Oreochromis niloticus: one gene and its partner. The protein of the gene in region 2 purifies or fractionates together with the protein of the main gene of each other region. This does not show direct contact. Links are inferred from orthologs where the notes say so. Each region holds a gene or a part of one and is shown on either strand. Other genes may lie near its edges.

Region 1 (15,745 bases), on a different chromosome or scaffold from region 2:
GTGATGTTCAGGGTAAACCCAGCCTGACATGATGTCGACGTCAAAACTGTGTAGGGGCTATAACATCTGTTGCAGATGGGATGGCCCCACTAAATGTTTGTTTTAAAAATGTGCGTCCTTACTTGATGGGGGTCGTTGAGTGCCCCAGACTTTTAAACCACTTAAAGAGTAAGTGAAGAATGAGTTCAGTCAGGCAGTAGGAGGAGGCTTGACAGATTAGGTATAATAAACCAAACAGTGTGCAGTTGAGTTAGTGCACAGTTACCACTGAAAGTCTGCAAAACATACATATTGCTGGTTTTGTTTTGTGTTTTTTTTGTTTTTAAACAGGATTTAATGGGTGAAAAATAAAAGACAGTCTTATCCTTTAAAATATGCACAGCAGTGCATTTCAACCCTTAATATTTGCTTACATCATCATTGCCGTCAGCCAGATCCAACGCCGTCTCGTCCTCCATGTTTCGCAGCATTTTGTCGGCGCCATTCTGACAGAGGATGGTGGCGATGGTGGCGTCCTGTCTCCCCACCGCAAGATGCAGGGGTGTGCAGCCATTAAACATTGCAGCGTCCACATTGGCTCGGCTGCCGAGCAGCAGCTTCACAGATGTGATGTCATGCAGCTCCACGGCGAGGTGAAGAGGCGTTTTGCCGCTGGTTCCTTCCTACGAGGGGAGCGGACGGAGAAAAGCGATGAGAAATTCCACAAAAAAGGGCAGAAATTAATTCTGCAATGTAAACAGTTTCACAGTTTTCTTTTTGCAATTCTAGAAATCAGTAAGAAAAAAGGTCAAAGTAAATTCAAATTAGAATAATAAATAATTCAATACATGGGATGTGAGGCAGACTGATATGTTAGGCCAGTGATTTAAACTAAGAGGAATGTCTGGGGTGGTTTCGGGACTGCCATGTTCCCTACCATCAATAGAAAGTTAAGAGCGGCCGGCCAGTCTGACCTAATCATATCTCAAATCTAATTATGTCTCACGGAATCCTGCAGGAAGCCCCGAGCTCAGCTCATATCACTATCAGCATTGCACAGGTGCAGCTGATTTATCATAGGAACACAACATAAGGTCCCAATGTGGTAAACACAGTTTAAACAGGATGTACGTGATTATAAATGCAGACATATGACTGGATTAAACAAGTACGGAAAGCCCTATTAGGGGAAAAAAAATAAATAAAGATTGCAGCTTTGCTTCCACAAAAACAAACTCTTCATCCAGTCCTTCAACCTTTTCCTTTTCAGTGTTATGAGTGGAAGTCTGCACTGTTTGTGATCATTTCAGGCTGAATTACACGAGTGCAAAAAAAAAGCTTTCTGTTTAGTGTGAATTCCGCCTTTATGCAAAACCTAATTATACAAATACAGCTCATATGATGGGGGGGGGATCCACAGACTAACCTGTATATTCAGATCTGCACCCTTTTTGATCAGAAGCTTCATAATTTCATGTTGCCTGTTCAGTGCAGCCAAGTGAAGACAGCCAAGACCTGAAAGTACAAATGTTGGCTGAAATCTGCAATGTGGAGCTCATTTTTAGGTCAAACAGTTTTTACAAACTTCAAGCAGAAAATAGACCAACACTGTATTGATACAACACAAAACATGTTCTACATCAGTGCTAAATGTGGGTGTTATTTCTTCTGCTACTGTCCAAGGAAATCCTCATGTGTCTTTTAGGAGGACATCAGGGAAAGACAAGCTAGTTAAATATTTCTTCGACATTAAAATGTAAAAAAACCCCTTTTGACTTTAATGCATAAAAACTCGCATAAACAGATTTAGTAGCAGCCATGACGGTTTTCCCCTCACCTCTCCAGTTCTGGGTCTCGAGGACCGGAGCCAACTTGCTGGGAGAAAAATCTTTGGTCATCTCGGTTGCGCACTCTAACTGTCCGTGCTGGCAGGCCACGTGGAGCGCCGTGTTCCCGTCCTGGTCCTGCAGCTCTATGCTGACCTGTTTCTCCATCAGACTCTGCACCACCTCGCTCAGGTTTAGGTAGGTGGCGAGGTGCAAAGGGCTCTGAGGAACAAAACAAAAACTTTACCTGCGTGTCTCTGGTTAAAATAAACAAAAACACGTCAGAAGTTCATATTTAAGTTGAGATGTTAAATAATCTACTAAAATGTAGAGTTGATATTAAGCAAAGACACAAAAAAATTACTAGCTGTCCATTGATTCATCAAACATACTGACAATAACAGGTTGATGGTGGTCTTATATATTTCTTCAGCTGTTGTCCTTATACCCTGTCACTTCTCCTTCACAGCTGCAGCTTCCCTGCATTTCCAAGAATGCTCTTATCCTCATTTCTAACTCCTCATTATTATTTTTGGACTCTAATAGAGTAGCTTAGCATGAATGATGGTTCTGAGCGTTAGAGTAATCCAAAGCTTCACTAAAATTTCGGCTCATTGAGATTACGGACCTCATTATACCAAACTTTTGGCATGTTTAATGTGAGCACCCACTACTAAAGTGGTATAAATATGAGAGGAAATAGGTAAAAGTATAATAGTTCCCTTTGAAAATCCCCAGAGCGCAGGCCTGTACCTGCTGCATTCAGGTACAAGTGAGGAAAAGAGAAAACCCTTTCCGAGAAAGTGAGTTTTATCTTTAATCCACAACAAGTGATGCGGTTACTCTACACTGTGGTTTACTGAGACTGCTGTAGGTGTACAGTATGATAGTGCTGTCTCCTTTTTAAAAAAAAAAAAAAAAAAAAAGAAGATGTGTTTTGCAGTTTTTTTGTTATCAAAATTTTACCACGAGACTTTGCACTCACAGGACCAAATGTTGAAACATGGCAAAAATCTCTAATCCATTTGTTTTACTTTTCCTTCAGAAATAAAGATGCATTTTTATTTTAAACCCCCTGGGTTGCAAACAAATTTTTTCTTGGTAATGTGTCCAAATGTGAAATCTTAGAATGACTACTAAGAGGAAATTAGGAAACCAAAAAGAGCCCAGCACAGAGCTAACTGAGTCACTACATGAAGTGCTGAGTCTCAACTTCACATGTTTCCTTTTGACAGTTCTGCAAGTTCAAGTTAAGTCTCTGGTCGGACTTCTTGAAGGACTGGAACAACTCCTCCACCCACATCCACACAAGGATACACTCCACAGCTCCCTGTGGTTCTATTTCTACATGAAGTAGAGGAGGGGAGTTTCCATTCAAAGTCCCTTATGAGTTAACACTGGAACCACCCACAGTGACGTCCCCGAGTGAGGACGGACTGCAAATAAAGAGGAACAAGAGTTCTCTGGAAGTACAGAGATATAAATAAAGCCACCGCTTCCACAATCAAGGTGCAGATGAGGAAGTATTTGTGGATTAGAAAATTCCAGCAGAAGCAACTTGTAGGACCTGTTGCACCTACCTGATATAAATTATTTTGGATGTCCAGGACTTCTCTTGGGAATATCTGTATCAAGTCCTTAGCAAGTGATGATATTTCGTGGATAATTGCTAAGTGCAGGATTCTACGGGAGTGAGAAAGAAAAAGAGAAGATGAACTTTAACTGTTATGCCTGAAAAAATCTGTAGCCCTACTTTATCTCAAATTGAGCAACTTACCCCCCTCCAAAAAAAAAAAAAAAAAAAAAAAAGCAGCGCTGTTAATTTCAACAAATGTTGCCTAACAATTTTCCTCGGTATTCATTTCAAGAGACTACCTCGAAATGTAACACTTAGTGGGCTGAATGGCAAGACTGAGTCGTTGGGGTATTGAGCAATACAAAAAATTCTAGACAGCACAGCAAGGTGCTGGTGGTTTAAAAAAAATCTAACATCTGTGAGCAGATATAATCACACAGGCCTCAGTTTAAATGCTTACAGCAAAAGACAAAACAAAACAAAAAGCACGCCACCCAAAAAAAAAAAAAAAACAGAGTGGGAAGTTCTAGCAAACAAATGTGTGCGCAAAGCAGGAAATGGAACTGAGCATTAGTGCTTAATTTAGACTCAACAGCAACACAGCGAGGGCCCCATCTGGAAAAGGGATCTTAACAGATTAAAATCAAAGTTTGAGGCTTAAAGTTCTTTAAAATCGCTGCTGAGTCCAAATTCTGTGGACATCAGGTTTTATCTTACAGGCTTGAAGCGTTGATGTTTTACTGCTGCACGATTCGCCGCAGCGGTTACTTCTCTGTTAGTTTAGCAGCGAGACGTTCTGCTTTCAGAGTAAATGTCATTTAACCCAACGCTGGACGCCGCGGGCTGCTTCAGACGCAGACAGAGTGGGATCAAAAGTTCCCACGACGTCTCGCTGCACACTCAGCTGTGAACACTTACAGTGCCACATGTCTAATTATACAAAGTAGTAAACAACATGGCATTTATCGATTTGTTAAATGGTAAATGTGGTTACTTCTTTCAAAAGACCCACACCAAAGGGGGGGGGGAAAGAATTCAGTTTTATTTAGTCACAAATTTAAAATATCAGTGTTTCAAAAACTAATGTGTAGCGGTAGCAATAATACAGCTGCTTTTTTAAAGTGATCAGTTATTGAAATCTATAAGGATTAATCATGCAACTGAACATTTTGTTTGCAGCTACTGACACCGAGAAACAAAGAAAAAAAAAGATAAAGTACCTGCATAAGGTTTATTTTAAAAAGGTGACAATATTTTACGCTTATTTTTGTCACAAAACAAGGAAAAAAAGCATTTCTTGTAGTTACTGCCATAAATACAATAAATGTATTACTACTTTACTATTATCAACACTGATTAAGCATATAAGTTGGCTTTTTTTCCACTGAATTAAACACCTTTGGGCTGTTTGAGAAGAAGCAATGAGGAAACAGACGTGGGGCATTTCTTACTGTGAGTAAATTAGGAAGGTTGCAGGTGACAAAGTGTATGGTTCCTTGTGCATTTCTAGGAATTTAAAATTCCCAAAAACTGTAGAGAAAATGAAAATAAATGTAAAAATACAAAGCTGTTGGTGAGTGTTAATCCATCGCTCGAGTACCCCAGTAATGGTTAAGATGAGAGGATACTGCACGGAGAAGCCACATTACATATTTGTGATGCTTAAATGTCAGCTACGTCTGCAGACTGATGGAGCTGCGCTGACATAAACCTGTCAGCAAATGTCTTTGTGTGAAAGGGACTTCCTGGTTTGAGTAAGACTTGAATGAATAAGAACTTAAAAAAAAAAAAAAATCCCACAGGGGAAAATTGGTGTTTGCATGATTCTGTCAGTCGAAGCAATGCACTGTGGTGTGTTTCAGGTGTTTTTTTTTTCCCTCCACCAGGTATCTATAGTTAGGGTGTGAGAATGAAACCATGTGGCCCCAACAATCAGCAAGCGGAAATGAAAAGAGGTCAGAGACACAACAACACTTGTGCAGTGTGATGTGACTACATCAGGATCACACCGGCTGGTCGTGGCTGCAGGATTCATTAAATCGGTCTGCTGGTTGATGACGCTGCAACTCTAGATGAGTGGGTCACATAAGAAACAAGAAGGTCTGCATGGGCTGATAAGGTTGTGTGTGTGTGTGTGTGTGTGTGTGTGTGTGTGTGTGGAGGTTGAGGTGTTTAGATTGTGTGCAAAAGTTTCACTGACTCAAATTGAGAAATGAAGTGCAGCGAAAAGCCGCTCAGTCACAAATGATTTTTTTTTAGCTGTCTGGAAGAAGGAAGAGGTAAGAAAGTAAAAAAAAAAAAAAAAGCAAGGGGGGAAAAAAGAAGCCTGTGAATGGAGGGAATGAAAACATGCGTACACACTGTCCTGTCCTGATCAACAAGTTTCTTGGATCAAAAGCGGGCCACACAGCTACCTCACAGCATGTGCTTTGTCTGTGCTGCATGGGGGAAGTCCAGACCTATCTGTTTCACTTCTGTTTTCTGACTGAGAGTCGACAACTCAATGGAGACCGGTCACATTTGCGACAAGGACAAAGTTCATTATAAAAGTTTGCAGTATCACACTCTCATGAAATCCCCTTTAAAACCTGTATCGCCATGGGAAAAACTGTGCCTGAAATTTAATGTGATTTACAGACTTCAGCTGCAGTAGAATTGCCATTCATGGGGATTTTAAGTTCATCAGCAGACTTAAAAAAAAAAAAGAAAAAAAAAAAAAAGAAGTGAGAAGCTACTACCCTGCTCAAATTTAAACCAGCAACTATTCTGATAACCTTTAAATTATTCGGTGCAATATTTGGAGCAAATATACAAAAAAATCTCTAATTACAGGTCACCAATTATAAAAAAATATACTTTTTTTTCTTGTTTTAAATCATTTTGAATCGTACATTTTCTAATAAATCCCCACCACTACATATCAGGCAGTGATCCAATTAAAACTAATGTAGTGCCATTAATGTACAAATCACTAGATAATGGAAATGATAATAATAAAGCGCTTGTGCAAACTCATTGTAGGATATTGCCAACCATATCAACTAAGGATAAACATCACGGGTGCCAAAAAAGCTGGTGAAACAGTTAAAATGCAAAAAGGTTTGTATTCACCCACCAGTGTGCAGCAGCATCCCTTTCAGCAAATATTCTAGCAAGCTGAGCAAGACTTTTTCATTTTTGATGGAAATTAAATGAATAACAATTAAAAACCTACGTGTCTCCATCCTCTGTAATAGTTGTAAGCAAGTTCTCCTCCTGCTCCTGCTCAGAGAGTTCAGAGCTCTGTACTTGCTGGTTGCTGCTGGAAATCGTGCAGCCCCCCACTATATCCGACAGGCTCTCTACCGTGAGAGACGAGGAACCGTAGGCTGAGTCCAGCCATTCCTCTCCGCCGGAGAACTTGTCCCTCGGCCCGCTGAGGTCAGTGCTCGGCCCCCGGGGCTCCTCCGACTTCACCATGGAGCGGTACGACTCAATGCCTGAGTCTGTGCGGTTATCCTCCGGCAAGTGTTCTTTAGTACAGTCATGGCTCGCCATGGTAGTGCTGCTGTGGTGATGGTGGTGATGATGATGGTGGCCTCGCTGGGTTTCCCCCTCCCGCCTTCCCCGAGGATTTAAAGGCTTCCTGCGGGCGCTGTAGCCGCTCGGTGCTCGGTGATGTGACCGGACAGCCCGGTGACACCTGTGATAGCCGCCGCACCGTCTTCGTGAAACCAGAGGAACGAGCCGCTGCGTATCATGCCATTAACCGACAAGACTGTGCCCTCTGTGTAGGAAGAGCCGTTCACTTTTTACCGATTTAACGCGTTTTAAAAAGTTTCGAAAACATGGCAGATCACTCACGAGTCGGTGAAACGGGTTTAAAACGAGTCAAACAAGACACAAACGACTGCCCGTCGACTAAATATCCGGTAAATGCGTGAGCTCCAGGCGGAGAGCATATGAGCAATGAAAGGCGAGAAGGGGAAGAGCTGACATGTGAAAGGCAAAGCTGTTTTTGTCACGCGGGGGAATCCCCAGTGGCGTGACCGAGCGCACACACACAGTACGTTCACTCGCGAACACGCGCGCGCAGAAACGCCGGAGAGTCGGGTGTGAGAGCGGAATTACTTTGTGATTTTCAAAATAAAAGCACACACTCTAACGCTATATACATATCACCCACTGATGACTTTCCATTTCGTGTCTTCTCATTTTTTGTGCCTAAGTTAATTTATTAATATAATATAGCCACAAATCACAACAGCAGTCTCCTCATGGTGCTTTATAGAGTAAGGTAAAGACCCTGCAATAATACAGGGTAAACCCCAAAATAAAAACAATCCCCTTGGGCAAGCACTTGATGACATTGGGAATTAAAAAACTCCCCTTTAAAAGGAAAGAAACAGGCTCATGGAGGGACAGTCATCTGCAGCCATCTTTTGAGAGTGAGGGGAGGAAGACAGAACAAAAGACATACTATGGAAGAGCGTCAGAGATTAATAATAACAAATGATTAAATGCAAAGTGGTGTGTGAGTACATAATGAGTGAAAAAGATGAGTGAAGAAGAAATACTTAGTGTATGGGAAGCCCCCAGCAGCATAACTAAGGGGGGATTCAGGGTCACCTGATCCAAAAGTAGAGAGAGTGTCTGTCTCCTGAATCCAAACTGGGAGCTGGTTCCACAGAAGTGTAGCCTGAAACCCGACGGCTCTGCCTCTCATTCTACTTTTAAATATCCTTGGAACCACAATTAAACCTGCAGTCTGAGAGCAAAGTGCTCTATTAGGATGACATGGTAAAAGTGAACATAGTTCGCAGGCTTCTAACTAACTCTTACGGGAATTTATTTTCAGGGGCATGTCCAGAGGGGGGCATAGGGTGACATCTGCCCCCCCCCAAAAAAAATATGACTGCTTGTTAGTCTTACAGTGCTAAACATAGATAAGACCTGTTTTTTAATGTAACTTAATATATTTACTCAAGTATTTTAATGACATTTTAATGTATTTGCACTTCATTTAGATATTTCTGTTATGGTATTTCAACTTCATTATATTTTTGGTTGCTATATATACTATATAATGTACTTTTAAATCTCTACTTATTTTTTGCAAATTTTAAAATATTAATCTAATATTTATATATTAAGTTGTCAATTAATAAACAATCATGACACCTACAATCACGAGGTCTGGGTAGTAACTGAAAGAATGAGATTGCGGAAGAAGTTCAGTAATTTGGGAGGGATTTGGTGATTAAAGTGATAAACACATTAATAAATCAATGAGTAAACGACTAAAAACTATTATTTTAAAAAATGATAATGATTCTGAAAGGACGATTCTGTATAATCTTCATTTTCCATTAAGTGCACTTTGATGCCACGATGCACAGTCACAGTGGAAAAACCCCAACAGCCAAGGGGATAAGGAGGAGTACAATCAGCAGCTTTTCCCACACCCTCTCCTTTTTCCCCATCGGTCTTTATCTAAAAGCAAAGTTGAACTATTACACTCCAGCTTCCCTCAAATGACTTCAGTCATCATTCACTTCTGACTGTCGGCAGTGTCAGGAGAATCCCCGCTCATGGGTTTTTGCAAAGTTGAAACACCTTTAAGGCAGATTTGTGTCTATTCACATCGTCCAGTGCAAATTTCACTTTGTGGCTAACATGAATACATCTTTAGGCTAAGAAATATGAAATATGATATTCGCTTACACAAAGAGTCTTTCATGTAATATCATTTATATTAGGGCATAGAGCTACACCAGCCTCAAATTGTATTTACTTCTGATCAAATATTCTGATTTCCAGCCTCCCGTCTTCCACCCAACCTGCCCTGTTATTCTTCTATCCTGTTCCACCCTATTAACAATTCCTGGAAACACCCCTGTTTCTTTCATACCAACATTCAACGAGGTTTAGGCCAACAAACGCACAAAATAAGAAATATACGAAATGCTTAATAACAATACCTCCCCCACGCTATGAAATCAACCTTGTCTAGTGTGCTAATAAAAAAACAGTAAATATATAATCAAATAAATTAACTGTGTTGGTTTGCATTTCCAATTTTTGATGTTTAAGTCTCAGTTGTTCTGAGAACCTTAGTCTTCACTGTGTACCACAGCTGCAGGGCTACTGAAAGCAGCAACATCACATACAATAACCAAATAAATGAAACATTAAAATCAAAATACCAAACAACTTGTTTATGTGATTATTCCCTGCTTGAGTTGTGTGATTATTACTGCCTCTGAATGATGCATGAGCCCATGCACACTTTCTTAAACAGCATTAAATGAACTGCTTTAGCAAAACAAATACTCAACTGTCAATAAAACCATCAAGTATGCAAAATCTGACCACAGAACTAAAACTTGCTAACACAATGACATGTTCCTTTAAGCCCTTTTGGAGCATATGCAGGCCTCACATCTTCATAACTTGTAATCCTGGTGACACCCTGTGCAATACGATTTACCACAGAGGCTACAAATACTTTGGAAGGTATGCTTGTCTGTACATGGACTAATTATATCACCACAATAGCATCTGTGCAAGATGCACTCATCAAACTTCACGTGTGCAGTAGATATCAAAATAAAGTTTGACACGGGTGTCATCTGACCCATGGAAAGGAAGGAAGTTCTACTATTTTTGTTTGAAAGGCGCCATATGAAGTAACCTTCATTTGGTGTGCATTTACAAGATCAACACGATGATAATTTGTGTTTATTTATGCTTTTTTATAAATAAACCCGTTGGCCTATTCAGTAGGTGTGATAAAAGAGCTTATCAGTCTGAGTCTGTCTGCGTCAAAACAATCCCTCAGAACTGTGCAAGGTGCACTCATGAAACCTTATTGATGTGTATTTGGTATCAAAACAGCGGGGGAGTTCAAAGGTGAGCGTGGTTCAGAGCACAATCACAGTAAAGTGTGATAATCTAAGTATGGGATCTAAGTCTGACTTAGATAGAAGTATCAAATCTCATTAATGTACTCATTCAGAACACAACAAGCATCCCACTGTGATACTCCGTTCAAAACATGTGGCTTTTATTTTTAAAGTCCACAGCGGAAGTCTCGGTTTTCAGGCTTGTCACTGGTAGCAACAACAAACCACAAGCACATCATTATTCATTGAGCTTTAGTCCTTTTTCTAAGAAGCTGCAAAACCAGAGCTTGGTTTATATAAATCTCATTTTGCTGTATTTAAAAGTGAGGAGACATTAAACATGAGCAGCTACTGGTATGTGCTGAGGGGTCCTGTTTGTAGCAGCAGCAGCAGCTCACAGTGTCAGTCTGTAGATGTTTTGCATGCTTTTGTGACTGATGCAGTCAAATAAACAGAAGAAAATATTCAGAACTTTCCTTTTTTATCATCTGTATTTTTACTTTTACTTTTTTAAGACGCTTCCTGTGGTCTGGCCTTTAGAGGGCTCACTTACACAGCTGCTGCTCTACTTTAAGGGGAGGGGGGTAGGTCCATGATAAAAACAGTCTACAACATAAAACAATGCTGACTGTTAGAGGGAAGCATTTAGTGCTGTTAAGAGTTACCATCTGTTTTCCTCTACTGTTGTGTTTACTTTTTCCACTTTACGCCAGGAGTCCAGTCCAATGTCCATACTGTGCTCTGTGATAAACACAGGTCGGTGTTCCAGGATCATACAGGAACGTGTTCTTGTTTAAATAGGTCTGTGCACAACAAAAGCAAGGATAAATATTCAGTTTTATCTGCTTGGTCTTCTTATGGTCTCTTCTTTCACAAAAAACAATGAAATTATGACAAACGCTTTGGGGCAATTCTGTCTTTTTGCCCTCTTCTCCTTATTCACAGCATTAAGTAAACCATATCTCAGCTTAAACTTGAACTTTTGTACTCTTTTTCTTTTTGTCTGAAAGCTATATTTGGTGGAGTCATGAGATTAATTTGCTAAGAATTCAAAATACAACTTTATTGTAGAATCATCACATGTTCTTTAGGAAGTTTATTTGAAATGAAAAGTGGAATCATCCAATCACATGGCAGCAACTCAGTGCATTTAGGCATGCTGACATTGTCAAGATGACCAGCTGAAATTCAAACTGAGTATCAGAATGGGGAAGAAGGATGAATTAAGTGACCTTGAAAATGGTATGTTCATTAGTGCCAGATGCGCTGGTGTGAGTATTTCGGAAACTGCTGGGATTTTCCCATGCAACTATCTCTATGATTTACAGAAGAAAATGAGAAAATATGCTTTGAGCAGCAGTTCACTGGGTGAAACTGCCTTGTTGATGTCAAAGGTCAGAGGAGAATGGGGAGACTGCTTTGAGTTGACAGGAAGGCAAAAGTAACTCAAATAATCACTCATTACAACCAAAGTATGCAGAAGAGCTTCTCTGAATCCACAGGACATAGAACCTCGAAGCAGATGGGCTGCAGCAGCACAAGACCACACCGGATGCCCACTCTTGTCAGCTTAGAACAGGAAACTGAGAGTACAATTCACACAGGCTGAACAAAACCGGACAACAGAAGACTGGAAAACTTTGGCTGCTTTGATGAGTCTCGATTTCTGCTGCGACACTTGGATGACAAGGTCAGAATTTGACATAAACAACATGAAAGCATGGATCTATCCTGCCTTGCATAAAGAGTTCAGGCTGCTAATGGCGTGGGACACTTTGGGACACTTGAGCGTCACTTAAACACCACAGCCTGTAGCCGATCGTGTCCATCCCTTTATGACTACAGTGAAATCATTTTCTAATGGCTGCTTCCTGTAGGATAAAAGCTATTAAAGTCTGACCGAAGTGTCTAACTAAAACACTTTTCATCGCAAACGCTGTCTCATGTTTCATCTTGTACAGCATGTCTTCAAACTGTGGCCGTGTCCAGGGTGGAAGAGAGGGACCCAAATGCAGCACACATAGGAAGACTAAAAAAAAGGAGAGACATTTATTGACCCATATAAAGGCCAAATGGATAGATCCAGGGAATATCCAATATACACAAACAATACATAACAAAAACCCACAGAAATAAAACAGCTGCAAAAAAAGGAAACGTGACCTGGGAATTATATTTGAATTATATTATCTGATGATTAGGCCCCTACTCATAAGATGTGGTTAGCTTTTGGGAAGTCCCATTTAACAAACGGTTATCTTGTCTATTATGTTGGAATTTGTATTTTGATTGATTTGTGAATAAACTAAACTAAACTAAACCCTTTGACAAAAAGAAACAAAGACATTTACAAACAAGCCAAAAGATCATACCATCTGAGGAGCATCACAGGTGACTTATTTAATTTCATATATATAACGGATTTAAACCCTACGTGAGCTTTTACTATTACTGTTTTTCAAAGCACTTGCTTAAATACAGATCAGAATAAAGATCTCTGCTGAGGGGAGCCACCCCCTCCTCAGCAGCGGCAGCAGCAGCGCCCCTCTGTGCTGTTGTGAGTTACGTGGACACGTACGTGCGTGTTATTTACATCGTGGTGTCGGGCTGGCTGCTCGCATGTGCCGCTGCCCGTCTCCTTTGTCCTGCTTCACAGCTTCACTGGGTGTCATGGGCACTGCCTGCAGGGAGACGAGCTTTGTCACTTCCCTCATCACACTGGATCCCTCGCCGCTGCAGTCCTCATCACCATCACCATTGCATCGCGAGAAGAGTCACAGCCTCTCAGTCTTCTTCGGAGGCACAATGACCGCGTTCCCGTAGGCTACACTATGCGAAGTGTGCCCACCTGAAACAGGCTGGGGATGCAGCATCCTTTGAGCCTTTCTGTTTGGGTTCCTGCTGCACTGGTTTCTTGCGGATGATGCGCGGAGGAGTTCGCGGCGTGTTTATGTCTCACTCTGCTTTGGAAAGCCCCCATCCCATCAGGAGATCCATGCACCACCGATCTTTGTGTTGTTGTTATTACCATGTCCCCAGCATCGGCTGCAACGGCAAGTGAAAGCGCCACCGCCACCACCACCGTCCCCGAGGAGGAGACGGAAAGCCCCCGGGAAGAGGTAAGAATTGTTTGCAGTAAATTAAGGCTTTTGAGTAGTGTGGCATGTGTAAGTGACAGGCTGCCTCTGTGCATGCTCACTGTAATAATCTCACTGTAATAATCATTTGGCTTTTTTTTTTTTAGATTATGATTTAAGTGTTTGCACAGCACTTAAAGCGCTCTATTTGCCTATTATACGAACCCATGCGCGCACTCGAGCGTGTGAACGCCATGATTACGCTCCTGTTTTGTGTGTCCTCCAGGCAGGCTTCCTAAATTAGGTTTAAGAATCTATCACGGTACAATCAGGTACACGAAAGTGTTAAAACAAAAACTTATTTTGCTCATATCTTTCCAGAAGATATTGAAAGTCACGCAGCATTTAAAAGACATGTTGACGTTACTAGGGCGGGGAGAAGTGAAATGTTGTATTAGGGGGGGAAAAATGTCTGTAAATTTCCCTTAAGGGAAAAACTAAAACAGATTTGGAAACATAAGGACTCAACAGCAGTTTTCCTGAATTAAACTATAGCACCCAATTCCTCTCCTTCTTCTCCAGTCTTCCCCTACATGCACACATGCTGGGCAAGTTACATATCCATTACACAAGAGAGTCTTTTTATATAACCTAGCTGGTCTTATTATGTCAAGAGAAAGTGTCCATGACTGCGAGAGGCACTAAAGGCACCACAGCAGCCTCCTGAATGTGAAGACTGTACAGATTTGAACCTTCTTGAAACTGTTTTTCCTTTTAACCATAGCAACTTTCATATTAAAGTGTATGACTCCTATGAGTGCAAACTGTAAAATTACATTAGGATGTAAGCACATAAGGTGGTGTGTTGAAGTGATTCTCAGTTGTTGCTTTCATGGAAAGGGAATTTTCACTAAATACAAAACAACACTGAAACCAAATGTTAAAAAATGATACAAGAGCCTTCAGCTAACTGTACACAACTGTACACAGAAGACTTTTAGAGCTGTTTCATACAATAACTGCCTTAAATATAAATGTAACTCAGTACAATTAAAAAATTGATTCTCCTTTCATATTTTAGGACCAGCGCAAGGTTTTTCTAACACATTTTTAATCAGATTGTAACATGCAGGGATGCATTTGCTTTGCAGGCCCATAATCAGAATGATATCTCATGCTGTACGACTGTTCATCATTAACCTCGAGCCTGTAAAATGTAACACTAGCCACAAAGTGTGCCACGTAGTATTGATTGTAATTTTCGAACATGGCCAGAATGCTGGTGAGCGAGCACTCCTCCTGCAGGAGGTTTATCTCAGTGGGGAATTTCACTGTTAATCCCTTTTGCTCTGTGGGGTGTAGCCTTGGGTTGGCAGTGTACTTGAGGACCATGTGACCAAGGTCGGGAAGTTAATTATGATGCAAGAACATCGATTATTTATGCTCGTCTGTCACTCGAAGAGCACAGAGCTGACATGTCGAGTTCAATAAATCAACGCTGTGATAGAGCAGATGCTTTTTTTTAAATGTTGTGTTTAGAGTTGACCTATAGATCAAAATCTAGACATTTACAGTCTAATCTGAAGTGTTTGATGTCCTGCCCCAGCACAAGGTCTGTTATGCAAATTTTTTTTGAATGAATTTAGTTATAATCTTCCCCTTCCTGGGACTTTTGAATCTCTGCCAGGTTTTGTGTGGCTGTGCTCCTGCAGGGCGTAACCAGCTCTCGAGCTCTTTGATGCAGCCGCTGGGGCTTGCTGTGCCCCGAGGAGATAAAGGATGGCACCATCTAAATGCTGCCCAAGTCAGACTACAGCCTTTTTTTCTGCCTGGCCTGTCTGCCTAAATGTTTTTGACTGTTCAAAATCATATCAGTTCTTTCAAGCCTTCAACTCTCACATGACAACAAGATTTCTTTTGCATTTTAATGGTAATAATGAAGGAATTGTCTGATTATAACAAGCACAGAGCAAGAAATGAGCAGTTGGCTCTTGGCTCATGCATAAACTATGCAAAAGCACTTACAACGAAGAATATTTCCTTAAATATTTTATACACATGAGCCGCTGCTCCTTAACTTTTTGCCTACAGGTATTTAGGTCGTCTACATCAATGCCACATTAAAATGTGCCATTCATTTAAATCTTCAGGTGTAGGTTACTCCTTATATTTTTATGTTAATACCTGTTCGTTATCATTTCTTTTTTTTTCTCTCTTTTGCAGCAGCAGCCTCAGAAACAGTCTCTGGCTAAGTCCTTGTGTCAGGAAACTCACTGGAAATGCCTGCTGCTGTCCCTGCTGATGTACGGCTGTGTCGGGGTGATGGCCTGGTGCCAGGTGACAAAGGTCACGCGCCTCACCTTCAATAGAGCCTACAAGGGAAACTCTATGATGTACCATGAC
Region 2 (15,943 bases):
AACATTTTGTCATTTGATTTGTGAAATAATTGGAAAGAGAAAATTAGTGGGGTTAGGTTAATTTGTTATTATAAATTTCCCTGGCTGTGTATGTGAGTGTGAATGGTTGTTAGTTTCAGTGTGTTAGCCCTGTGACAGACTGGAGATCTGTCCAGGGTGTACCCTGCCTCTGGGATGGGCTCCAGCTCCCACACAACCCTGATATGGATAAGAGGAAGAAAACGGGTGGAGTGGAAAGATGTGTCAAATATATTCTACACTGAGTGTTGGTGAATTCATATATTCACTTAAACTAGGAGGACAGGTGTGGTTTATACTAAACCCACTGTCTAACTTTGCTATCTACTGGAATAACTATTGAACGTTGCATTTGGACTTTCCAGCAAGGGGAATTCTGTATGCAAGAAGGCTTAGGTTATCTTTATATCAATTACAACAAAATGAAACTAAACATTCTCGCTTGTGAGAAGAAGAGAAAACTAAGCAGTAATCGGCCACAAGGGACGCTTGTACTTAAGATTTCTCACTTTAGAATAACAGGCTGTGGTAATACTGGTCTGTATACATGTGCAGGATGTTGTGCAACTGTCGGTTTACAAGCATGTAGTAACCAAATCAGGTGACAAGCAAATCTTGCATTTAAAACAAACAAAGACAGATGAGTTTGCACTGCATTGTGAGCATATTTGTTTCTTTATAAGTGACGGTCTGACTGGTCCTCTACTGTACGTGAATACGTTCTCATCTCTCTGCTTGCAGTGCAGTTTTTGCCGTCATAGCGTGTTCAGCTTTGATGGGAGATGATGTCAGTGCTTCACCCGTTTTTGATGCTTCCTAAAGCTGGGCATACACTGCAATTTTTTTTTATTTATTTTTTTCCCCCAGTCGCGTTATTCAGCTCCTGCTCAAACTGTACGATTGACTTGCAGGGGATAGAAGTTCGTAGGTCACGATGCATGGTCTCACACTATACGGCCAGATGCTCTGATGCGACCTGAGTGCTCACACTGTCCGTCCATAACATGAAGGTTATAACACAAAATCTGTCTCTCGCTCTCCCTCTCTGTCTTTCACTCACACTCTCTCTCTCTCTCTCACACACACACACACACACACACACACACACACACACACACACACACCACCATCAACTTTGCTAAATTGCTAATGAAAACATTGATCAGTCCATCCAACTATTTTCACGGTTGTTGAGGTTGTGATAATTTTGTGAGGCCACATCGAAAAGGCTCAGATGAGCTTGCCAAAGTTCTACAAGTTGTGCTTTCATCTCTGGTGTCCAGATCACACGCTGCACTGCCGTGCCGCTCCGTCTTTTCACGTTCAGTTCTGTGTTTGCGCGTGCGCAGTGTGAGAGGCTGCGTTGACACCCTCACAACGGCCGACAGGATTTCAAAGAAGTTTGATTTTCTTACGACCAAACGATTGATGGTCGTGAGGTGTTAATTGCTTCTCGTTACCCCATGTATACTACACGATGCACGACACACGATTAAGGCGAAACTTGGCCCGATCCCCAAAACGGTCGAACAACTGAAAAATCGTCTCAAAAAGGGCCAAAAATCGCCCAGCGCCCAGCATAAGTGACATATTGGTCTCAATTCAATCCATCCATTCGCTTCCGCTTATCCTTTTCAGGGTCGCGGGGGGCGCTGGAGCCTATCCCAGCTATCATAGGGCGAGAGGCGGGGTACACCCTGGACAGGTCGCCAGTCTGTCGCAGGGCTAACACACAAGGACAGACAACCATTGACACTCACATTCACACCTAGTGACAATTTGGATTATCCAATTAACCTATCCCCACAAGTCTCAATTCAATTCAGTTTTATTTATTTAGCACTAAAAAAGTCTGATTGGGGCTCGTTTCTCACTGGACCAAACTGTGTCCTCTCCTGCAGATGTGGTGTTCTTCATCTACCTTTACCAGCGCTGGATCTATCGAGTCGATCCCAATAGGGTCAATGAGTTTGGTACCAGCGGAGTAGACCACGCCCAGAACACAGCAGCCCCTGCGCAAGATGCCGCCTCCGCTGCAATCACAGACAAACCAGAGGGGGAGAAGAAGAATGATTAATCTTCCTCCCCGGCTCTCACTGCTGGAGTGAAGAGGACTTGTGGAAAGTGGGCATGGAGAGTGGAGTTGTTGTTCAGCTGTCATGGATGCCGCTACCAAAATAAAATGCAGTTCAGCTGTTCCCTCTGGTTTCTTTGTGGATGCACAGAGAGTCATATTCAGTGTAGACTTGGTAAATTCTTATTTCTGCTCCCACCCATCCCTGCCCTCTGTTTCGCAGTTCAACTGAAGTAAAACAAAACGTGATGTACTGTATTCTGTATGATTTGTATGATTTTATATGTATGATTCTTCTTTTTTTTCACTTCAGAGGGTAACGGTGTCTGGAAGTAGATGTTGGGAGGGGAACAGGTCGCAGTTATGCTAATTTTATTATTTTTATACAGAGGAAAAAGAGGCCAAGTGCAGCTTTTGTTCTTTGTGTAGATTCCTTTTCATTCCATGTGAGCACTCTGTTTCGGCTTGGCCGGAAACGGGTGAGTAGTACAGGAAACTGGAAAGATCCTGAGCCACCATGGAGGTTGGTGAAGAAGCGAGGTGGTGACTGGATGACCGTGCAGGACGTTACCCACGAGATGACGACTACTACCCTGAATTTTAAACAAATAGTTAATGTTCTAAACTTGAACATAAAAATAACAGCCTTGTTGGTATTAATATAAATATATTAATATTGTCCAATGACTTAATTTTTGTTTTTCAGTCACTGATGCATTCTTTTGTATTTTCCTCAAACTGTACAGCCTCATGTTAATAATACCGATGTCAAACTGTTTAGCAATAGGTAATTTGCAAATCTCATTTTTATTATTTTTGATACCTTTTAAATATTTGTTTTGGGCTTTAGGACAAGATTTTTGCATGACACTTCATTTTGCACATTAATTTCTATTGCTGTTACAGAAAATACAGTTTGTGCTAACATCGCAACAACACTACTGAACTCTTTCATCTTTGTGTTAGGAGTTGAGTCCAATTTTCAGCCAGTAACTCTTTGTGTCTGTGCTGTCCAAGAACAGCCATCATAACATCCAGAACTCAAGGTCACAGATTGGAGTTGAGGACACACAAGTAGAGCTGGGTGTCGTCACTGATTTTTATAACTGATTTGATTGAGATTTACAAGGTCTTGATTAGATTTGATTGAACTTTGACTCAGACAGTGAGTGCTGAGGATAAAACACAGGAAAACATGAGATTTTCCTGGCCTGGCTTTTATAGCAGATAACCCCCTTAAAAATATTCTACAATAGATTAAAAACTAAAAAAAAAAAGCATTAATAAACATATGAACATTGCCTGATGCTGCTGCAGTAAAGCAGAGCACAGCCACAGAGGTTTTATTAGAGACGCTTTGTAATTTGGAGTTTGAATTTCTTTGGTATTGAACAGCAAAAATGAGATTTTCTTGTCAGAGGTCATTTTTAAAAAACAAAAAACCAAACAGCGGGTGACAGCACTGTACACATGGTAGACTGATGCGTAATAAGCAAGCAAATAATGCAGAAAATAGAGATTTTTGATGGTAAACTGGTCCTGAAGTACACTGAGAGAGAGAGAGAGCTGTACAGGAAGAGCAATTTTATGGTGGTGGAAGCAAAACCAAGAGTAAGAGAATCTGTGACAATGTTTTTAAACGTGAAGCATGTTTCACGTTTGACCCTTCGTCTACGAGTCATTGGGTGAATGGGGATGATCTGTGCTTTGTGTGTACATCTTTGTGCGAAATCTGCTTACCTGCTATTTAATCATTTGCTGTTTTAGCTGTTTGCCGGAAATAGTTTCATGAGCTTTAACCAGAGATTCTGGTGTTTTTTGGCAAAATACATGTATATTTCAAAATTGATTCAGGCTTTAATTCATCGATATTGCATTATTCAAGCTAAAATCAATTTGAATCAGGAAATCGATTTTTATAAACCCACCCCTAGAAAGAAAGTCTTGAGCTGCCCTTCATTTCTTCACACATTTGTTTCTCCTCAACTTTTTTCAGTTTCCTTAGATTTGTAGATTTGGCTAAAGAAATGAAACTAATTGTGTTTTTGTGACAGGCTGCTAGTAACAATGTGCACAAAGACACAATTTGAAACTGGTTGTTTGCTAAGCTGTTATGTGTAGACACAGCACTGGTTCATCCTTGAGTTAGTTTATGCTTACTAGAGTAGGTCATTGGTCAGGTATGGTCAAGGACTGGGCTAAAAATAAATGTAAAAGCAGCCAATGTCCAAAGAAAACTTTGAAAGACCTTCAGAAAACCTAAACGACTGTTGCTCAAGAGATTAAAAAAAAAAAAAATTACAAGAAAGTCTGGCTCTTTGGAAGCAAAATGTATAGAAATGAGATGTGGCTCAAGTTTTTTGATTAGAAGTTTAAAAAAAATATTATGATTCAAGAGGGGGAAACCTTAAAGTGATAAACATATAATTATAAAATAGTGCTAATTATAGACTGTTCTATATTGAGTCATTAGTTGCTGTGGGTTGATATTTTGGAGTCTAGCCTCACGGGGGTGGCCAGTACACTGAAAATAAAAAAGGGAAGTCTTAAAATTATGCGACAAGAATACTTCAGAGGGAAACTAGGTGTAGAAAGGCTAACAGATTAACAGTAAAAAAGGGTACCAAATCATTTGCATAGTTTAAAGACTTAATAGTTCTGTGGATTTAGGCTTTCGGTTTCCATATAATCCAAGACCACCTCTGTGACATGTAAAACTGAGGTCATGTTTGGCACATGAGAACTGAAGCAGGTCACAATAACTGCTGCACAAAATATTGGATACAGTAAAACAAATTTACACTAACAAAAGAGACACTCCAAACCTTTCTTTTAACCCTCAGCTAACCTTTTTTTTTTTTTCTAACATCATCTGACCATTTAAATTAGATTCCTGTCAGTTTGGCAGGTGTATGATGTTAGTGTAACCAGTTTCTGCTTCCCCCTCTATAACAGGCCGGCCAAAATTAACTCCTTGACTCTGCGTTTTGTTGTATTTTTAAAGAAGACAAGGAGTCTCTGGTTTGTCTTGATGCATGCTCAGTCATCCAGGTAAGCAAATCGCAGAAGTTTGATTCTTTTCATCTGGACGTTTTCAGTGGGAGAAAAGTTGCGTCACTCATCAAAGTGGCTTCTTCAGTCTCAGCTGACTGCAGGTTTCCCCAATCTTATAAATAGTACATTTGCATAATAACTGAAACCAGCCGACTGAATGAACAATGGGCTGGGATGTCAGTTTTTTGATCATTAGTATGCAAATTGTGATGTTCATTGCTCAACAAACACTGATCAAAGACCACTGATCAATGGCCATGAGTACCATTCACAGAGAGTTGGGGAATGGCTCCATTGTAAGATGATTCATAGATGTTTTTTCCCTTTTCACGTAAATGGCCTCCTTGACTCCACGCTCAAACCAGCGTTCCTCCCTGTCCAGGATGTGTACATCCTCATCATTGAAAGAGTGTCCCTGGCCTGTAGGTGTAAATAGACTGCAGAGTCCTGGCCTGACGAGGTGGCTCTTCTGTGTTGTGCCATCCGTTTCACCAGAGGTTGTTTGGTTTCACCGATGTATAAATCCTGGCAATCCTCCTGGCACTTAACAGCGTACACTATATTACTTGTGTCGGGGGACCCGATCCTTGGGGTGGAACAATTTTTGGCACAGCATGTTTTGGGGTTTGAAAGCCACAGAGACGCTGTGTTTAGAAAAATGCGTCTCAACTGTTCCGATACTCCTGACACATACGGGATCACTACAGGTTTTCGCTTAGGCAGCAGTTGTCCTTCTCTCCTGGATGAACTGGAGCTTTCTTTAGGTGACTTCCCAGCTTTGACAAATGTCCAGCTAGGATAACCACATTTACTCAGGGCCTTCTTGATGTGATGTTCTTCTGCTTCCCTGGCTGCTGTGTCTATGGGGATGGTGTTCGTTCTATGTTGTGGCGTCCTGATGACACCCAGTTTGTGCACCACTGGATGCATATTAATGATCAAGGACCTGACCTCACAACTCACTGTTCATTCAGTGGGCTAGTTTCAGTTATTGTGCAAATGTACTGTTTATAAGGTTGGGGAAACTTGCAGTCAGCAGGGGTCATTAGCTCCCCGGTCAGTGTTTTGGAAAGCCGTAGATGCAGAAGTAGTTATGCCAGAGTTTGTGCGCTACTGCCTTAGCAGACTGATTAGGGCTGATTAGAAAGGCCTGAGCCATCTTTGGAAAGTGGTTTATGACCACAAACACATCCACTGATTTGTTTGCTGAATCCTCCCAAAATACTTTAGCGCCGTTCCTTGTTGGCCCTGGTGACCTGCTTCATCATGGGCACCTTTCAGTACAGCAGGATGCACGGTTGGCGGAACAACATACAGGTAGGTCTTAGAGACTCGATACAGTAAACTATTTCTTACGGTCAACTTGTCCCAAGCCTTTAGGAGTCTCCTTGTATCGGTCGCTTCTTTGGCCCACTCTCTCCTTGATGGTCTCTGCCCCCTTTCCACATAGAGGATCACTCTGCACAGCACATCATCATGTGTCTCACTAGGTCATCTTGTAAAAAGGATTCAGAGTCAGACCAGTTCGGTGTAAGCACAGTTTGAGAGAGGCAGGAGAAGAGCATGTGGCCACACTCTTGACTTGTGTTTACTATGGCCCTGGAGGACAGCTCCCACCTCAGCCTATGCAACAGCTGTGTTTATCAGATTTTTATTAGTCAGTTCTTCAGCATTCAGGGTCTTACTGTGGTCCTCTCCTAAATCTCCCTCTTCCCTCTGGTGATTAACCAGATGCATTATAAGGTTGCTGCCCAGAATAAGGTCCTCACTCTGCCCTGCAACCACCATCATTGGCAGAACAACTTTACACCCATACACCTCAATGGTAATGTCCCACACACCTGTTGGAACTGTCCTTGAACCACCACAACCAATCAGGACGACATCAGTGGGTTGGAAGGTCGAGGTCTCCAACGCTACAGGACGTAAAAATTGGGGCATTACATTGATGCTGAGGATGCAGGCCATGGAGCCACCGTCAAGCATCGCTTTAGCTGACAGTTCGCCACCTAGGGTGACGTTTTCATTGAGCAGTTCATCATTCTGTTTTAGTCTGTGTGTGTTCTGAAATATGGGTCATATTGGGACTCACCTACTGTCGCTAAAAACTAAAAGGCAGTGGCTGCACTAAGCTGAGAGGCACACTTCTGATCTTTGCCATGCTCCAGCAACTTCTCGTACACATCAGCAACTGTCCACCGCTGCAAGGACTTGCACTTGAAAATAGGAGACAGTTCTGAGTCCGGGGAGTGACGGTTAAACATAGCAGTCAGCTCTTTTGTCAGATATGCAAAGGACTTAATTTGTCTTTTAAGGCAGTCTTCTGTCACCTCCATAGCGCTGTTCAACCTGAGCCAGTAATCAACAGGCTTTTCACCTAAGTTGGATAATGTTGCATAAAAATCTGCTAAAGGCATGCTTGAACCGGCAGTGTTAATGAAGTGCTGCTTTTAGATCTCAAAAATGGGCTCTGGGCCCCCCTCATGACATACAGATGGCTTACTACGTATGCCCACCCTGATTATCTCTCATACCCTCCCTGCAAGTTTACTTGGCACTTCATCAGCTTGTTCTGCTACTGGTATCCCTTTTCTTTTTAAAAAGGCCATCATCATTTTCCCCATTCCCAAACACTGCATGTGTCACAGCCATCCCCTCTAAAACACACAGGTTCTTTGACATCAGATTTTGCAACCACATTCAGTACTGAGGGCTCTGAGAGCAAAGACCCAACAACAGTGTTTCCCAGTCCATAGCACAAGCAAAACTAAAAGAAACTGTCCCTCTCCCCCCTACCAAAAGTGGGAAAATCTGTCATGCTTTAGCAGATTTTTGTTGTTGTTTTGATTATCGAAAACAGTACATTTAAAGGGGGAAAGAAAATAGTTGACTCTGAGTTCAAAATGTGAAAGAAAACATCTCAAATGGAATATACAGCAAAACCTCAAACACACACTACCTCCCAAAAAATACAAGAGCACAGCTAAATAGACCTTAATAAAAATGCATAGCAAAGGACCACTACATTGAATCACTGCAGAGTAGTAAACAGCTCTTTTGTTGAAGATAAAACGTGTTTATCCCCCCCCCCCCTTCTTTTTCTCCTTCCCAAAGTGTAGGAGCCATTTTTGGGTTAATACCTTATGTTGCCGCTAGAGGTCACCTTTTTTAGTTTCTGTATGGTAGGTTTATGTCAACAGTTTGTGACCGCTGCGCTGTTATGTTAAAATGATATTGGAATAAAGACCAAAAGGACAAGATAAGTACTGCTGGAGTTATTGGACTGTTTAATTAATTCATGCATACCAGTGACATCACGTCACCCCCGTTAACAAACACCTCTGAGGCTTCAAGCATAGGCGTAGCCTCTACACAAAGAGAAAGTACACAATCCCACCTCAATGTCCGAAAGAAAACAGAAAATGGCGGGACTAAGAGAAACCAGTCTCCCGCGGTTTTCCGCACAGTCCACCTTCCAGGAAATAGACAGGCCATTGTATATTTATTTCCTCTCATGTAGCTTTAACAAACTGGCAGTGATTACATACTTACATACTTATTACATATACTTTTTACAGTCATTGTGCACCAGGAGGGAGGGCGCTGTTTCCCCATTGCACTGACATTTGAGGCAAGTGGAAACACTGTTAGGAACACACCAGTGACAGGTGTAGGTGATGCTTGGTGTCATGAAACACTGATGGTCTACTTTTGACTCAAGTAAAGACATGTGGCCTCCAGTAAATGCTGTGTGCCCATAAAGTTTTAGCTTTTTAAAATAAATATATATATATATATATATATATATATATATATATATATATGTATATATATATATTTATTAAATTTTGTGGATATTCTTCTGTTGCCTTCAAAAGGAGGACTGAGGACTCGCAGATCATCCTCTGGTTGCAGAGCTCAGGCTGAAGCGTGTCGGTCATGCCTGCAGCTAGGTTGCAGCTGGCTTGCTTAATTTTTGTTTTTTAATCTGCTCCCTGCTGAGTCACTGCTTCCCCTAAAAGGCCCCGCTTTCGATTTCCATTTCCTTTAAATCGTCTGTCTTCTGGGCGACCAGCAGGTGTCGCTGCTGCGCTTCGTAATTTTTCAGCAGTTTGTCAAGAGTTTTTAAGTTGAGACGAGAAGAGGCGCCGTTTCTAATGGGAGGGGTTTTTTGTTTTTGTCTTTTTGAAATTGTAACTTTTACTTTGCACTTATGAAATTCCCACTTCTCCCTGATTGGAGGAACCGGGAGAAGCGTGATAAAGACATGATGTAACCAGGAGAAATGCCTCAGAGGGCGTGTGGCTGAGAAAGAGCTGGCTTTTTGACTTCTTTGTGCTAAAAATAGGTGCATGAGCTCTGGGATAGAGGCTCATTTGAATAGTTAAAAACTGATTTGCATATGCACTGAAGCCGATATGAAAACAAGACGAGCCGCCGATACGTGCGATCAGTTTACATACATAATAAGCGGGGAAATCGGCTTTTAAGGGTAAAGGACCTATTCTGGCCTCATTATGATGCATTATGCAAATCAATAAAGCGGCAAGGGTTTGATTAAAAGCTCGGTTCGCGCTGTCGCGGGGGGGGTTTTCCCGTCTGTGAGGTGACGTTACGCGCAGAGGGGGATTTCCACGCGGTCCAGCAGCCAATCAGCGCGAAGCTTGTCCGAAACACAAAAGCGGAGATGACTTCGTGTAAGATATTTCGACACATGGCTTCGAGACGGTTTGACACTTTCCCCGGGATCAGACAGAAGCTGTGAGCCGCTGTGCAGTCTAACAGGTGGTTTAAGGAGCTGTTTCAGAGTTCAGGACGAAGGTTTGGGCCGAGACGGAAAAAGACCCAGAGTCATCCGGTTTGGAGACGACTCAAGGAAGGATTCAAGGACACGACGGTGGAGTTTAAGGTCCTAAAGGTGGTCTTAAAGACTGGACGCATGCCATGATAGACATGGACATGGTCAACGGTACCTCTGGTGGGTGGTTGTCTTTTGTAAACCTGTTGAATCTTTGCGTGTGTTTGTGCGTAAAAGCGCTGACATCATCCTGAGGCATGTGATTTTTCACAGCAGAGGAGACAACACCCCTTCCCGGGATTGACCCGCAGGACGACAATTGTTCGAGCCTCGACTCTCTAGATTTCGGTGAGTGGTGGGTCTTTTTTGTTTTGTTTTATTTTGTTTTGTTTTGGCTCTGCGTGCATGTGCCGGAAGCAGGGAGGAATTACGGTGACCTGAGATGACCTCTGGCAGGAGGCGTAAACCATCATCAGAGTTCCTGCTTGTTTAATCTTAGGTTGTCTTATTTCCGATGTCAGAAAGGGAGAACTCAACATTTGGGACATTAAATTAAACATGAAAAAAGTCACAACAGCTGATTTCTCTTATTTAACATTGAAAACTGTGCTGCAGATGCTAGCTTTGTTTAATGCTTCATGCTTTCTGACAAAGTGTCAGACATGACAGACCACAACCACTGGTCCCCAAAGACAGGTATATTTACCTGCAGGTAACCACTGCTCTAGATTCACTTTCACTGGTTAAACTGAGGCTGACTACAGGGCAGGAGGCCTGTTTTTTTATTGGTGCAGTGCTGAAACAACGTGCCACAGATTCATGCACCAGTGACAAAAACAAAACAGAGGAAACGGTTCATGTGAGGTGGTAACCACTCAGATTCTGACACACTGTGTCTTGTGACACGTTGCCACGTCTTAAAATAGATTGCAGTAATATACTACTAGGTTTGGAAGATGTTAATGGAAGTGTTTCTGCTTTCTAATCCAAAAACATAAAGAAACAGAGTAGCTGCTGCCCTAAACCAGTGTCAGATTTTTACAACATTTGCACTTTCACTTTGGATTCACCATCAGTTTGTATTCATTCACACAGACCTGATTCAAGAATATATCGCAGAAAGTGAGCAGGTAGCACCCACCCCATCTGGACTACCTGGACCACCTCCTCCACCTACTGGCCTCCCCTGCCCCACAAACCAAACCCCACCAAACCCCATCCACAAACCAACGCAGATATCCAAGCCGGTGCTGGTTGCAAGAGGCACCTTGTCTAAGGTGGGTGTTTTGCTTTTGGGGTTTTTTTTGTTTTTTTTAGGTGGTGTCACGCAGGGTGTTGATTTTTCTGGTTTCCTGCTCTTTTTGCAGTTTCGTACGTTACCCAGAAAGACTGCTGGCAACACCCAAGGGTGCCAAGCAGAGAGGTGTTTGTATCAGCTGTGGGCTGTGAAAGTTGCCAGTCTGGGGTGAATAGGGGCATACTTTTTACAGATCCTGGCAAAATTTGTGCTCATTACTTCAATACAGGGTCTATTTAACTAGATCAAGTCATAATTAATATACCTGATACTTAATTTGTATAAAAACCAGAGAAATAAATGTCAGTACATGCACCTATTTTGTAAATATTCAATCACTTTGGCTGATATGACTGTATAACAGGTAGGAAACTGGAGTCTAGGCTGTCTGGAGAAAGGTTATGACTAATAAACAATGATAACAATAATGATGGTATTCTTATTTTTAGCCTTTTCTTATCTTAGCTGGGCAACATAAACATTAAAACAGTTAATGGATTCAGCTAAAACTTAAAACATTTTATTTATGAGAAGAAACTGTTAAAAATGTATCTGCTTGTGGCTCCTCTGAATGGTTTTTTTTTTTAGGTTTTCTTCTTATCATTTGTTTGTGCAAAGCACTCACACAGATGGGCAGGTTGTTGTGCTCTTCCCTCGGTTTATTATTAGCAACAGTAGTTTTATTTCCCATATTGTCTTTGTGCTATTATTGAAAGGCGGTTGATATAAAACACGTTCAGAGGAAGCGTCTGTTCCTCCTCGGGGGTGGCTGCAGCTCTCATAATGAGGCTGTTGTGAGGATTGAATGTTGGTGGTATGAAGTGCTGCATGATTCATGTGCAGCCTGCAGACGGTTGGCTTTTTTGCTGTGTGGCACAGTGCAGCCGTTAGGCAACTTGGCAGGTCCGGCTTCTACCAGAAAGCACGTGGTTTACAGGCAGCGGGAAGCTCAGAAAGGCTGTAATCTGATGAGGCACTGTAGTGGCCGCACAGATGGGTAATAATGAAGGGTGCTGGAAGTTTAGCCTTCTCTTAGTGAATGAGCTGCACAGGTTATGTTGCTGGGTTTGAAGAGGTTTTGCAGCTTGTGAGAGAGTGTGGCACACCTCTTTGTGCTTTTTTTGTTGTTGTTATAGAGGAGGTGGGCTTGGGGAGTGGGGAGGACATTTTGGAAGAGCTGTAATCTGACTCCTGCTTTCAATTTGCCATCCTTTCTGTTTACAAGCCAAACCCACCGGAGGCGAAAGGTTGCATTTTTCACCCCCGTGTCAGTGCTGTGATTGGCTGAAGGGTGTAAGGCTGAGCTGACTTCCTATTTCCGTTTGCTGGCTCGGTGTAGCAGGCTTTTGTTGAAAGGTCCAGTCCTTTTTTTTTTCTTTTCTTTTTTTGGGGAGGGGGCTAACACGATTGCAGGGGTGCATACAAACACTTTGACCAAAGACGTCTGGGGATCGACAGGATATTATGAAACATGATCTCATGCAGAGGTATCACCCACATCTCTGCAGCGATGGTTTAATGATTCACAGCAACACGTCTGACAAAGGAGGCGACTTCTTTACTACTTTTCTTACCTGCAGGTTTGATCATTATCATTCTTATCATCTGTTTTTTTTTAGATTAGCTACAACAGATAGACTGCAGTGAGTCAGGTGAAACTTGATTTGTGATAACTTTGGGTTCACGGTGATGTAAGAGAAAGCAATCAGGCGCCTCGATGGGCAGAAACAAATGAGCGAGGATGGAGGAAGAGCACTGCAGAGAAAGAGAGAGAAACTAAAAGCAGCAAAGACAAAAAAGAGATGTGAAGTCTTGAGTGGGAGCGGAAAAAGCTCGGTGGTCTGCGGTGTAACGGAAAAAATAAGACATCATATGCAAGAGGAGGCGTCGCAGAGCACGAGGTTAACTCTGCTCACTGATAGAAAGCACATGTATGGACAGAAAACAAAAAGAAACACACGCCATGAGTCAGTTCTTTCACTGCATGCTTCATCTGTAGTGTCATCACTGCTCAGGAGACATGAGGTTGTTTTTCTTCATTAAAACTACGAAGATATCGAGGGGGGAAAAAGCTCTTTCAGCAGTAAAACCGCAAAACTGTGTAACATCATTAGACTGTTAATACAGACACACTGGTGTGTAAAAAGTACCATTGTAGTATTTTAGCTTGTCAAGGTGGAGCTACTTTCAGCTGCTTTATATAGAGTGACTTAGTTTAACATATTCTCTCATTATATTTTTTTAAATAGTGAAATACTGAAACATCACACTTGTTTTTAAATTAGATAACCTAGAAGTTTGGAAGGGAAACATTTTATTAAAAGGATTTTATGAAGTTGTGCTTTGAAAGTGAGTGAATCATTGCTTCGAAACTGTGGATATTCTTAAAGGTTGTGACTGGTTGCAAATGTCCGTGTATTTGACTTGGTGACTTCATCTCCTTTACGCATCGAGATGGAAATCTGGTGAGTGAATTATGACTGTCAGCTCAGGTTTTTACTCCTCAGCCGTAAAAGGCTGATCATGTATTGTCGTCACCTCACCGAGGCCGATGACGTGGGCACCTAAGTTTGCGATAACTTAAGGACAAGATGACGTAGGATTTTGTAATTGATACCACAGGTGCATCTGCTGTGAGTCTGACGGGTAGCAGTTACCAGTACTTTTATTTTATTGCAGAAGTTCAGTTTTTCTTCTTGGAAGAGTGTTGAGAAAGGTCAATAGTTGATGATCGGAAATCTAAAGACATAGTTCAACTGGAGAGACGTTTCGTGCTGTCAGCAAACTGACTCACTGCATTTGGACATCCAAAGCAAGAAAACTTCTGAGTGTAAATTAAGTTTTCGTGAGAAATATGAAGTCGAGTCATGTGATTTTTAACTTTCCTGCTAAAACAGATCAAATAGGAAAAAACACTGTGGGGGCGTGAGGTAAGACCAGAGCAGAAATAAAAAGCACAGAGATCACAAACATGATGAAGAAATGGTTAAAACATAAAATAAACCAGTGGGGAAAAAAGTATTGTTTCTTCTTTCAGATGTTTTGTGGATTTGCTTTGAAGCCTTTCTAGTACAGAAATTATCTTTACTCATTAGATCAGGTTATAAAAGACTCATCTGATGTGCATCACCAGCCTTTAGGGACAGTCGTGAGGCTTGGTTGGTTGTTGTCTGCATCTTTTTATGCTGCCTTTTCTGCCAGAAGTTTCTAGTGCAAGGTAAATATGTTTAAGTCAATTGCTTAAAATTGCTTTTTCTTGTCCCCCCCCATCAGCCAGTCCTCCCTGTCATGGATATGGCATCGACTCATCCTTCCTCTGGGCGAGGGTCCTCGTGTTTGCTGAACCCGAAGAACTCCAGCATCCCGTCCTCTCAGAACCGGGGCGACACGGACATTCTGGAGCGTGTTCTGGACAAGCCCAAGCTCGTGATAGTGGAAGAGCCCAAAGACAGAGGCATGAGGTTTCGCTATGAATGTGAAGGACGCTCGGCGGGCAGCATCCTGGGGGCATCCAGCACCCACAGTGAAAAGACCCTGCCTACAATAGAGGTAGAAGTTTTCATTTCAGAAGGGGAGTTTACAAGATCTCAGAGGCAGTTAGGCACTTTTAACCACAGCTGATCCTGTTTACTCTGTTCACTTGACCCCTCCTGTCTGAAATGGGTGGAGACAGAAAAAAATGTGGTTTGTCTGAATCAATTAGAAAGTCCCCACAAATCCCAGCTCAAGTGCAGTTAGATACAAGGAGGTATATCCCCGAGCTGCTTACTAAAGAAACACTCCCACACACATCTACACACCACGATCATTCACACTTTGACTTGCTGGTTACCAGGTTATATAAAGTTTAGTCAAGGAAATGTCCGGTTGCGTAATGGATATTAATAGAATTGAACAATGGTGTTAATGTGTCATTATTTTTGGATGAAACTGGCAACTGAGAGGACTTGGTTTTGTTTTTATTTTAATGCACCAGGAAATCTGTATTGACCTTCTAGAAACTATTGTTAAAAGTCTGACAGGTGCCCCAGATAAATGTCTGCGGGGGAAACAGACCCAAAAAAGCCTGGAGCAACAGGTAGAGAAGGTTAATCGGCTTTTATTTCAACTTTTTTCAAGCCAAGTTTCTCAGATGTCAGGGTTATCTGCTTTAGTCTGGCATATTACAACAGCTTTGGTCTGTCGGTCAGGGAAAAAATGAAGAACTTTAGACAACTTTTTCTGTGTTTTCTATCAAGAAAATCACATTAATAGGCATCGCAGCTCTGAATTTATTCTGGATTTTTCTATAAATCTTGTTCTTTTCTTTCTTTCAGATTCAGGGTTCCATCGACGGCTTAAAGAGGGTCAACGTCACAGTTTCCTTGGTGACCAAAGACCTCCCACACCGGCCTCACCCCCACTGCCTCGTGGGTAAAGACTGTCCAAATGGTACAGGGATCTGTTTTGTCACATTCAACCCTCGCAACAACCGACGTCACAGGTGAGCATTCGCCTTCGTTCCCTCCCATTTTGAGAATTTAAATTTGGTGGTGTGTCTTTACATTTTATTTGAATAGTTCCCCTCATTTTTACACCCAGCTTCGCTAACCTCGGTATTCAGTGTGTGAGGCGGAAAGAGCTGGACATTTCACTTCAGAAGCGAAGAAGCCTAAATATCGACCCATTTCAGAGTGAGTGGGAGACGTATGCCAACACGCTG

What was found.
Region 1: the proteins of relb (region 2) and nfkbie purify together in Homo sapiens (affinity purification with mass spectrometry; 3 studies listed by BioGRID and IntAct, counting the BioPlex papers as one, with this or other methods). This does not show direct contact. The link is inferred for Oreochromis niloticus from reciprocal best matches to the Homo sapiens genes RELB and NFKBIE.

The regions. Positions count from the first base shown.
Region 1 is NC_031980.2:14,162,567-14,178,311, reverse strand, and holds the start of nfkbie (NF-kappa-B inhibitor epsilon), read right to left. Parts: upstream 7,455-15,745; 5' UTR 6,919-7,454; coding exon 6,596-6,918; intron 3,489-6,595; coding exon 3,386-3,488; intron 2,028-3,385; coding exon 1,817-2,027; intron 1,495-1,816; coding exon 1,406-1,494; intron 663-1,405; coding exon 414-662; intron 1-413. Other genes in the region: tmem151ba (transmembrane protein 151B), read left to right, coding at 13,295-13,384, 15,566-15,745. UniProt on the Homo sapiens protein: Sequesters NF-kappa-B transcription factor complexes in the cytoplasm, thereby inhibiting their activity. Sequestered complexes include NFKB1-RELA (p50-p65) and NFKB1-REL (p50-c-Rel) complexes.
Region 2 is NC_031979.2:23,748,217-23,764,159, forward strand, and holds the start of relb (transcription factor RelB), read left to right. Parts: upstream 1-9,315; 5' UTR 9,316-10,090; coding exon 10,091-10,124; intron 10,125-10,217; coding exon 10,218-10,292; intron 10,293-11,039; coding exon 11,040-11,221; intron 11,222-12,542; exon of another isoform or gene 12,543-12,821; intron 12,822-14,514; coding exon 14,515-14,790; intron 14,791-15,557; coding exon 15,558-15,724; intron 15,725-15,822; coding exon 15,823-15,914; intron 15,915-15,943.